2 linked regions of the Oryctolagus cuniculus genome follow. The protein of the gene in region 1 purifies or fractionates together with the protein of each later gene. This does not show direct contact. Links are inferred from orthologs where the notes say so. Each region holds a gene or a part of one and is shown on either strand. Other genes may lie near its edges.

What was found. Proteins that work in one complex are often made in the same cells at the same time.
Region 2: the proteins of KLF6 (region 1) and SP1 purify together in Homo sapiens (affinity purification with western blotting, with the first as the bait; 3 studies listed by BioGRID). This does not show direct contact. The link is inferred for Oryctolagus cuniculus from reciprocal best matches to the Homo sapiens genes KLF6 and SP1.

Annotation. Positions count from the first base shown.
Region 1 is NC_091444.1:92,835,051-92,839,314, reverse strand, and holds the start of KLF6 (Krueppel-like factor 6), read right to left. Parts: upstream 2,801-4,264; 5' UTR 2,622-2,800; coding exon 2,418-2,621; intron 1-2,417.
Region 2 is NC_091442.1:56,373,616-56,377,765, reverse strand, and holds the start of SP1 (transcription factor Sp1), read right to left. Parts: upstream 2,801-4,150; 5' UTR 2,386-2,800; coding exon 2,056-2,385; intron 1,731-2,055; coding exon 215-1,730; intron 1-214. UniProt on the Homo sapiens protein: Transcription factor that can activate or repress transcription in response to physiological and pathological stimuli.

The DNA of each region.
Region 1 (4,264 bases):
AAACAGGTTTAACCAGATTATCTGACACTGTCAAGAACCCTGGGTATTAAGGAAAGCCCCAGTCATCCATCCACCCTTCACAAACCACAGGTATCCACACAACAGGACAGAAAGACTGCACAGCACATAATGTGTTCGGATGGACCCCGTTGGGGACACAGCTGACGACACAGGGCCATACTCAGAGAACAGACAGCAACTAACTGTCTGTATTCAAGGACATCAATGGAGCTGCAGAGAAACCACCCATTTCCTGTGTAGCCCAGACCGAGTCCATTTTCAAAGAATGCCATTCCCAAGTGCAGGGCCATGCATGCCACAAAACTTTAATTGCTTCTACAGTGGTCAGAGAAAAACAAGAAGCTTCAACAACAGGAGTGGAGGAATCATTCCAGAATGGCCATCTGCTATTGTAAAGGAAGCAAGGGGGAAATTACTCCACGGCCCTGCTGGGAGTCCCACAATGAACAAGAACTTTATCTACTGGCCAAGAGTACAACTGTATGAGTCATCACTCCTATTTCTTTCACGCAATGCCAAAGGAGACTTCCTTTTGAAATTCTGACCAGCAGCCAAATAAGGACCCGGTTCAAATATACATGCAGTGTGTCATGGACAGGGTGCCCCTCCCCAGCCCCACAACCAACCTTTCAAGAAGCTACAACTGCCGAGATCAGCATCCCCTCTCCCCACCATTTCAAACTTTCTAGCCACTGGAAAAGAAAAATGGTAGGAAACATTTTAGGATTAAATGATGTCTGCCCTGATACTCACTAGGATCAGTTGCCTGCATGCCCATATAAGGCTGGCTGTACTACTGGCAATTCCACACACTGAAATTGCTACACCAAGCTGCTCTTTTCAACAAATCATTTGCAGGGCGCGCACCGTCCTGAGCACAGGCTACCCAAGGGGTTCATGCTTACTTAGCAGTGTGCCTTCTATTGTAATATATGCACATCCTGCCCCCTCCCCACAGACTCATCAAAACAGCAAGCATGAGCAAGCAAAGGGGTAAAATCATTGTTTTCTCTCTCCCCCTAAAATTAGATGTCTGAGTTACAGTGCATACGAGAGTGTTCCAAAGAGAGGCGGCGATGTTATTTTATTGATGTTCCAAAGACACAGGAAAGCACATTTATTGCGATCTTGTTAAACTTTCATAATCTGGCTAATTTAAAATCTCCATTATCCTGATGAGCACCAGGGACCTCAACCAAGCTCTCAGAGAGTTTAAAAGCCTCTGAAGGCCACCAGGAGCCAAGTCTGGCTAGTTGCCCAAATCCCAAATGCCCGAAGGAAACTACTTAGATCAATTTCAATCACGTCCTGTCTTTGAGGAGGAAAAAGGGGGGAGGGGGAGAGGAAGGCAGGAGAGGATCGGGAACAATTAAGCAGGCATCGGAAGGCTGCAACACTTCGCATTTCATCCTTCTTAAAAGCTTTCTAGACTTGGAAACCCACAGAACCTATTTGATCAGCTAATTCACTCTGTGACAAAAAGCAAACAGCTCGTCAGGGCAGAGACACAACACGGGGACCCTCCTGCTATCTTTTTATAGACAATGGGGCAAGTGTTGGAGTCTCTCTCCTCAGGCAATCCGAGGTTTTTAGAAGGAGAAAAAAAAAATTAAGTTTCTAAAATTCCCAATGCCCCACATTCCAGTTCCAGTAAAATGCCGGAAACAGGGGTTCTTCTTCCCAAACTAAGACTTGAGGCAATTAGGAAGGGCTGCCTGTCATATGACTGACAAGTCACTGGTGTGTGCAAACAGTTTTTTTTTTTTTTCCTGGTCAACAAGAGAAGCAAGTAAGAAAAATAAGACAGAGCTAGGTTCATGTTAAGAATTCCAAACAAGGAAAACAAATGGGAAATGCCCTAGATCTATGTTTCGTTGTCAAAAATGTTAAGATTAAAAAAAAAAAAAGCTGTATGGATACACACCAAACAGCAAAACAAAAACAAAATCTTAAAAAAAAAATGCCTTGGCAGTCCGTGCGAGTGCGTTCATATGACAACGTCCAGCTGTGGAGTTTGGACCCGGTACAAACGCCAGACTCGTGCCAAGGGCTCGGGCCGGGATCAGGCCGAGGAGTTCGGGTTTCCCCCGGGGTGGATGCTCCAGACGCTCGGGTGGCAGGGAAAAAACACGCCGGGCACCGCGGAGCCGGGCTCGCTCGGCTCGGCTGTCAACTCCGCGGCGCGCTGCAGAGCGACCCCCGAGCGTGCCGAAGGGCGCTCCGAGATCAGGATTTCCATGTTTTTTTGTTTTTGTTTTTTTTTTTTTTAAATGACTCGAACCACAGCAATCATCCTCATCCAAAGCTGCACCTCCGAGCACACACCACCCTGCCTGGCGCCTCCACGCACTCCCTCCTCGGCGCCCTGGACACGTGAGAAAAAAATCCCTATTTACCTGTTGCCAATATTCCTCCAGGGACGGGAGAGCCGAGAAGTAGCCCGTTTCGTGCACAATCTGGAGTTCCTGGAAGATACTGCACATTGGGAGCACATCCATGTCGGGTTGGAAAAGACAGTCCCCGCTGTCGGGAACACGGGGAGGTGTGCGTTCTGGAGTCGGAGCCGAAACTCTCCCCGCCAGGGCAGGTGAAAGTTTCATGCAAACTCAATCAGACGCCCCGGTCCGGACCCTCCCGCAGCCCGCAGCGCGCGCGCGGAGCCCACACAATATTTGCAAACACCGGACTGACTGCAAACGTAACCCCTGCAAAACTTCCCTATTCAAAGCTCCTCTGCCAGCCTCCCCCCTCCTCCCCGGGCTGGCTCCCCCCACTCCCCCTCCCCCCACGTGACTCGCCGCGCGCCCGCCCCGCGCGCTGCCCAATCCGGTCGCGCCCGGTCCGAGGGCCGCGCGCAGATGATGTCAGCTCCGGCCAATGGCGAGCGACATCGCGCAGCGGCCCCGCCTGGCGTGACCGAGCCTCTCCATCACAGCCCTCCTCATTGGCTCAATTCGAACTCTGCCCTCTCTGATTGGAAGGCGGCCTCGCAGGCTATTTTTAGCAGGGTATATAAGACGCGGGCCGTCGCGCGCCGGAGGAGTCGGTGCTGGGAGGTGCGCGGCCGAGCGCCGTCGTCGGCCGGCGGTCGGGGAAGCCGGGCTGAGGGAGCCGCTTTGGGGGGAACCGTGCCGGACTGCGCCCGCCCGGGCCCCTGCGTATCCGTCGGTGTGACCCTAGCCGGGCCCGGCCGGGTCCGGCAAAGCACCCTACGCAAGCTTGCTCCCTGGCGGCCGCTCCGTCCGTCTTTGTCCCACTCAGCTGCGTCCGGTTCCCCTCCGTTCTCACACCCGCGGCGTCCCACGCGGTCCCTTTCGCGCTGGTGCTCCGTCCCCCTCCCTGTGCAGCGCGCGGGGCCGCGCTGGCCTCCGCGGGCTGTCCCTGTCTCCCCCGGGGTCCCGGCTTCCGGCCCGTCCCTCTGTGCGTCCCGCTCCGCAGGACTGCTGCACGGAGCCGGGGAGGGGGCGCGCGGGGCGCAGGTTTGCTGAGGGGACCGCAGGGTCGGCTGGCGGGGACCTGGGGGACGGGTCGTGGGCGACCCTCCACCCCCTCCCCCGGGACCCTGCGTGAGGGGAGCCTGGGGCCCGCCCCCACCCGAGGGTCCCTGCGCTGCGCTGCCCACCCTGGGGCCGGCGGCGGGCACCGTCAGGTGCACACATCGGTTGAGCCTGAGGTTCAGGAAAAGGATCGAGGAGCCAGTGCGCTCAGATTCTGTGGAGCGAAGCTTACCTCTGCTTGTTAGAAACGCAGCGTCTAAGGTCTCCAACCCTGCTCGTGTGTTTTCATAAGCCCCCAGTAGTGCCAGCTGAAGTTTGAGGACCAGGCGTGTATAGCTTAAACGTCCTTTTGTTTGTTGTCATACAATAACCCTCATTCTGTGAAAATGCGGTGTTTACTTCTGATTGGAAGAAATCTGTTTATGTTGCAGAAGGCAATCTCAAAGAACCCTCACCAAGGTTAACAACTAGGTTTTCCCACGAATGTGTAAACAATTCAAATTAGGTTGAGACTCTCATTCAGTGTGTGTGTGTGTGTTTAATAAAAATTATCTCCTAAAATACACTGTTATGTTCATCTTAAAGAAAAATTCCAGGAACATGAAGAATAAGCATTTTTAAAATTCAAAACAGAAAACAATTATAACCACTAATTTAGAATAGAGTGTGATTAATACCCTTTTTTAAATATTTCTGAAGAAAGGTGTATGTAAAATAATTTTAGAAGATCTCGTGTATTAAATTTG
Region 2 (4,150 bases), on another chromosome or scaffold:
AGAATTGCTCCTTTCACATCAGATTAACTGAAAAGTTTCTGTTAATTTAGTTCCACATGATTTCAAAAGAAGCACTGCTATTTCTCTAACTGACCAGCCCTGGGGCAAGTGTTAGCCCAAAAGGTGCTGTTCCCTTCTTCCCACTCCATAGTTTCAGCTGCTATGCTAGTCAGTTCATTATAAATGCAGACTTCCAAAAGACTCGAAGACTCACCTGGGGCATTTGCTATGGCCAACGGCAGGCCTGGGAGCTGGTGCACCTGGATTCCTGACGTACCCAACGCACTGAGGTTAATGGTCTGAAGGCCTGGCATAGAGGAGAGTTGAGCAGCATTCACAGTGACTGTGCCGGCAGGGATGGAGGCAGCTGAGGCAATGGGTGTAAGGGTGGTGCTGCTGCTGCTGGTCTGCCCCAAGGAAACACCCTGCATCGGGGCCAAGGTGATTGTCTGGGCCTGTGGGTTCTGAACTTGGAGGTTCTGCAGCTGAAGAGTCTGCCAACTGACCTGTCCATTGGGCCCAACGGTTGGTGTCCGGATGATGATGGGACCAGAGTTTGGAACAGCCTGCAGCTGGAGGTTCTGGAGGGTTTCCTGGGAGATGGCCTGGGTTGTAAAGGTCTGTCCTGACAACGGCGCCGCTTGGAGGGCCTGGAGGGCCTGTCCCCCCTGAACTAGCTGAGGCTGGATCAGAATCGGCTGTTGCTGTGTCTGCTGGTTTGGCTCTCCCTCCTTCTGCTGACTTGCCTGCAGGGAGCCTCCAGACGTCTGGTTCTGCTGGATGTTCAGCGCATCAGACCCCTGCAGCCCCCCGACCCTCTGGGGTGTCTGACCTTGAGAGTTGGTCCCTGACGATCCGCTGGTGGTGAAATTCATGATTCCCATGTTGCTGGTGGTAGTCGTCGTGGAGTAGCTGTTAGCATTGGTGAAAAAGGAGCTGGAGCTGGCTTGTGATGACACCAAACTGGCGGAACTGATGGTGGTCGTCCCTGAGGTGACGGGCTGTGAGCCACTCTCCTGGGACCCCGAGCTGCTGATGGTGACTGCCTGAGAGCTGGGAGTCAGGGTAGCTGCAGAAACGCTATTGACAGGTAGCAAGGTGATGTTCCCGTTCAGGGCCACCGGGACGTTGGTCACATACTGAGTCTGTCCTGAGAGCACATTATTGGCCAGACCTTGGAGGGGGACAGCCTGTTGAAGCAGGTTTGGCATAGCAGCGATGATGTTGCCTCCACTTCCTCGGTTTGTGATGATCTGTTGGTTTGCACCTGGTATGATCTGTATCTGACCAGAACCATCCTGCTGCACTTGGGCCCCCGTGGTGGCGAACTGCAGCTGCTGCCCATCGACGGTCTGGAATTGGGGGATTACTTGGTACTGAATGTTGGGCATCACTCCAGGTAATCCTGTCAGAACTTGCTGGTTCTGTAAGTTGGGGGTGGCAGCCACTACATATTGCCCACCAGAGACGGTGCGGTTCTTGGAAGACTCGCTGCCATTGCTGCCATTGGTATTGCTGCCACTCTGTTCCTTTGAGGTAGGGGTAGCCCCAGAGGAGGAGGAGATGATCTGCCAGCCATTGGCACCCTGTGAAAGTTGTGCGGCGGTGAGGTCAAGCTCACCTGTGCCCCCTGACTGGCTGGGGCCCTGGGAGTTGTTGCTGTTCTCATTGGGAGACTCAATTCTGCTGCAAGTTGCTGCCAGCAGAGCCAAAGGGGATGGCTGGGATTCCTGGCCAGAAAGGGGGAGATGAGAGGAGTTAGTGACACCCAGCCACCAGCCTAGGGGGCAGTATACAACAAATAAACAGCAACACAATGAAGATTAAAAAGGGGGGGAAAAAACCAACCCAAAAACAGAAAGGAGGTCCTATCGGTACTGCTGCAAACTACCATCTTTAGCGAATCTAAGTTCCTTGAGTCTCTGCGCTGGCTTCCCCATCTATAAAATGTAATCCTCTCCTAAAACTCTTCTGGGAAGAGTAAGCCAGTTTTCTACGAGTATTTACAACCATCCTCTCAACACCTCCCCGCCCCCAGTTCCGGCTGTCACTCACCTGCCCGCCTCCACCTCCTCCACTGCTGCTGCTGCTGCCCGTGCTGCTGCTCCGAGCCTGAGAAAAGGCACCGCCACCGTTGCCATTGCCCCCATTATTGCCACCAACTCCCTTTTCAATCTTCACCACTGCTGTCATTTCATCCATGGAGTGATCTTGGTCTAAAAAAAGAATGAAAAAGAAAAAACAACTTAGCGTGGGGGAAGGGGAGGAGGGGGTGGATAGAGTGCAGGAGAGTTTACAGAAGGCTATGATGAAACAGCAGTGACTAACAGGAAGTACAAAGAAAATGCATTGGGGCAGGGGGGAACTGCAAGGCACATGTGTCATGAGCCAGGCTCACGGCCACGAAGTTTGGCCTCAGGTTTTCCTTGCACAAAAATTAAACTCAGAAAAAGGTGCTCTGGGAATAGGCCACGCAGGCCCGTACAAAGGGTTTCAAAATAAGAAAACGTGTCCTGGGGGTAGAAAGGAGCAGGACAGGTAAGGCCAAACAACATGTGGGTGGATGGAAAGCTTGCTAAAATTAGGGACAAGAGCGATGGAGGCAAAAAATCCAAGTACAAAATGCACCGAGAGGAGACAGGGGAAAAGGGGGGAAGGAGAAACGGTAAGCGGGAGTGGGGAACCATTGGGGACCACAGGTAAGGGGATAAAGGGGTGCAGGAGTGAGCAATCAGAAGGTTTCGGGGCGGGGAAAGGGCGGGCCCTGGAGGGAAAGGGCGGTTTCGGGGTGAGGGGCGTGGAAAGGGCGGGACGCTGGGGGGGAGGGGAGGTCTACGGAAAGTGGGGGGAGGAGGGCCTAGGGGCAGGCGGCGACCGGAGGGCGGACCAGGGAGGCGGTTGGCCCGGGCGGGGCCTGCCCTGCTCGGGCCGCCCCCGCGGCTCCAGCCCCCCGACGGGAGGAGCCTGAGGCGGGAGGCCGAGTTGTGGGGGGTAAGGCCGTCCCCCCCGTGGCCGGGGCGGGCAGGGGGCGGGCGAGGCCACGCTGCCCCCTCCCCCGGGGCGGGCGGCCCATCCCCCTCCTTCTCGGAGGCCCCGCCACTGCCCCTTCTCCCTCCCTTCCCTCCGCCCCGGGCGGGACCAAGGCCGCCGCCGCCGCCTCCCGCCCGCCCCCCCTCACGGCGGGGACCGCCCGGTCTGCCCTCGCGCGCGCCCCCTCACTCCTCTCCCACCCCTCAGCGTGGAGTGGACTCATCCTTACCGCTCATGGTGGCAGCTGAGGGACGAGCTCAAGGGGGTCCTGTCCGGGGGGGTTGGGGGGGGCCGGGAAAAACGCGGACGCTGACGAGGCAAGCGAACCCGGACCGGACAGGGAGGGGGGGGGTAAGGAGGAGGGAGCAGCGCGCCGCAAGCCCAGCCTGGGCCCCGCCCCTTCAGTGCTGCCCCGCCCAATGAGGGAGGGGGAAAGGAGGGACTTGGAGAAGAAAGGCGGGCAGGCTATCCAATGACAATACTCACTCGCTCCCTGAGGCGTGTAAGACAAAGTTGAATGCCTGGTATCCGCCCAAAAAGGCCGCCCCCTCAATTTTCAAGGCCAATGAAGAATGCAGGAAGTGAAGGTAGGCGGGCGCTAGAGATGATAGGCTTGGAAATAAGCCAGTCAGCCAGCAGGCGGGATCCCTGAGAGGTAGCGATAGGAAGAGCTTCGATAGAAATGACACATCAATGACCAACCACAATCCGGGACGTGCCTGGGCAAAGTCCTGGTGGGAGGAGAGGTAAGAAATAGCCCGGAATGGGCTGGGCTGAAGCTGATCATAGCCAATCAGAAATCAGGCGGGCAGCCAGGAAAGTTATGATTGGGTAAATGCTGAAAAGAGACGGAAGAGGACGCATATTGACGTGAACTAAAAACCAATTAAATTCCGAGTGGGCTCTGTAGGCGGGAACTTAGAGTGGGCAGAGGTGAATTGGCTTCTCCCTCAGTTACTCAGGCCAATGAGGGAGCGAGGTGAGTCTGGCACCGCCTCCAAATTGGGCAATGGGTGTTATTTGGGCCTCCCATCATGAGGGAGGGAACTGGGCTGTGCCAAGAGAAGTCCGTCGCCATGTTGGCCCTCCTCTGGGGACGTCTTTACGGTGATTAGGTGGT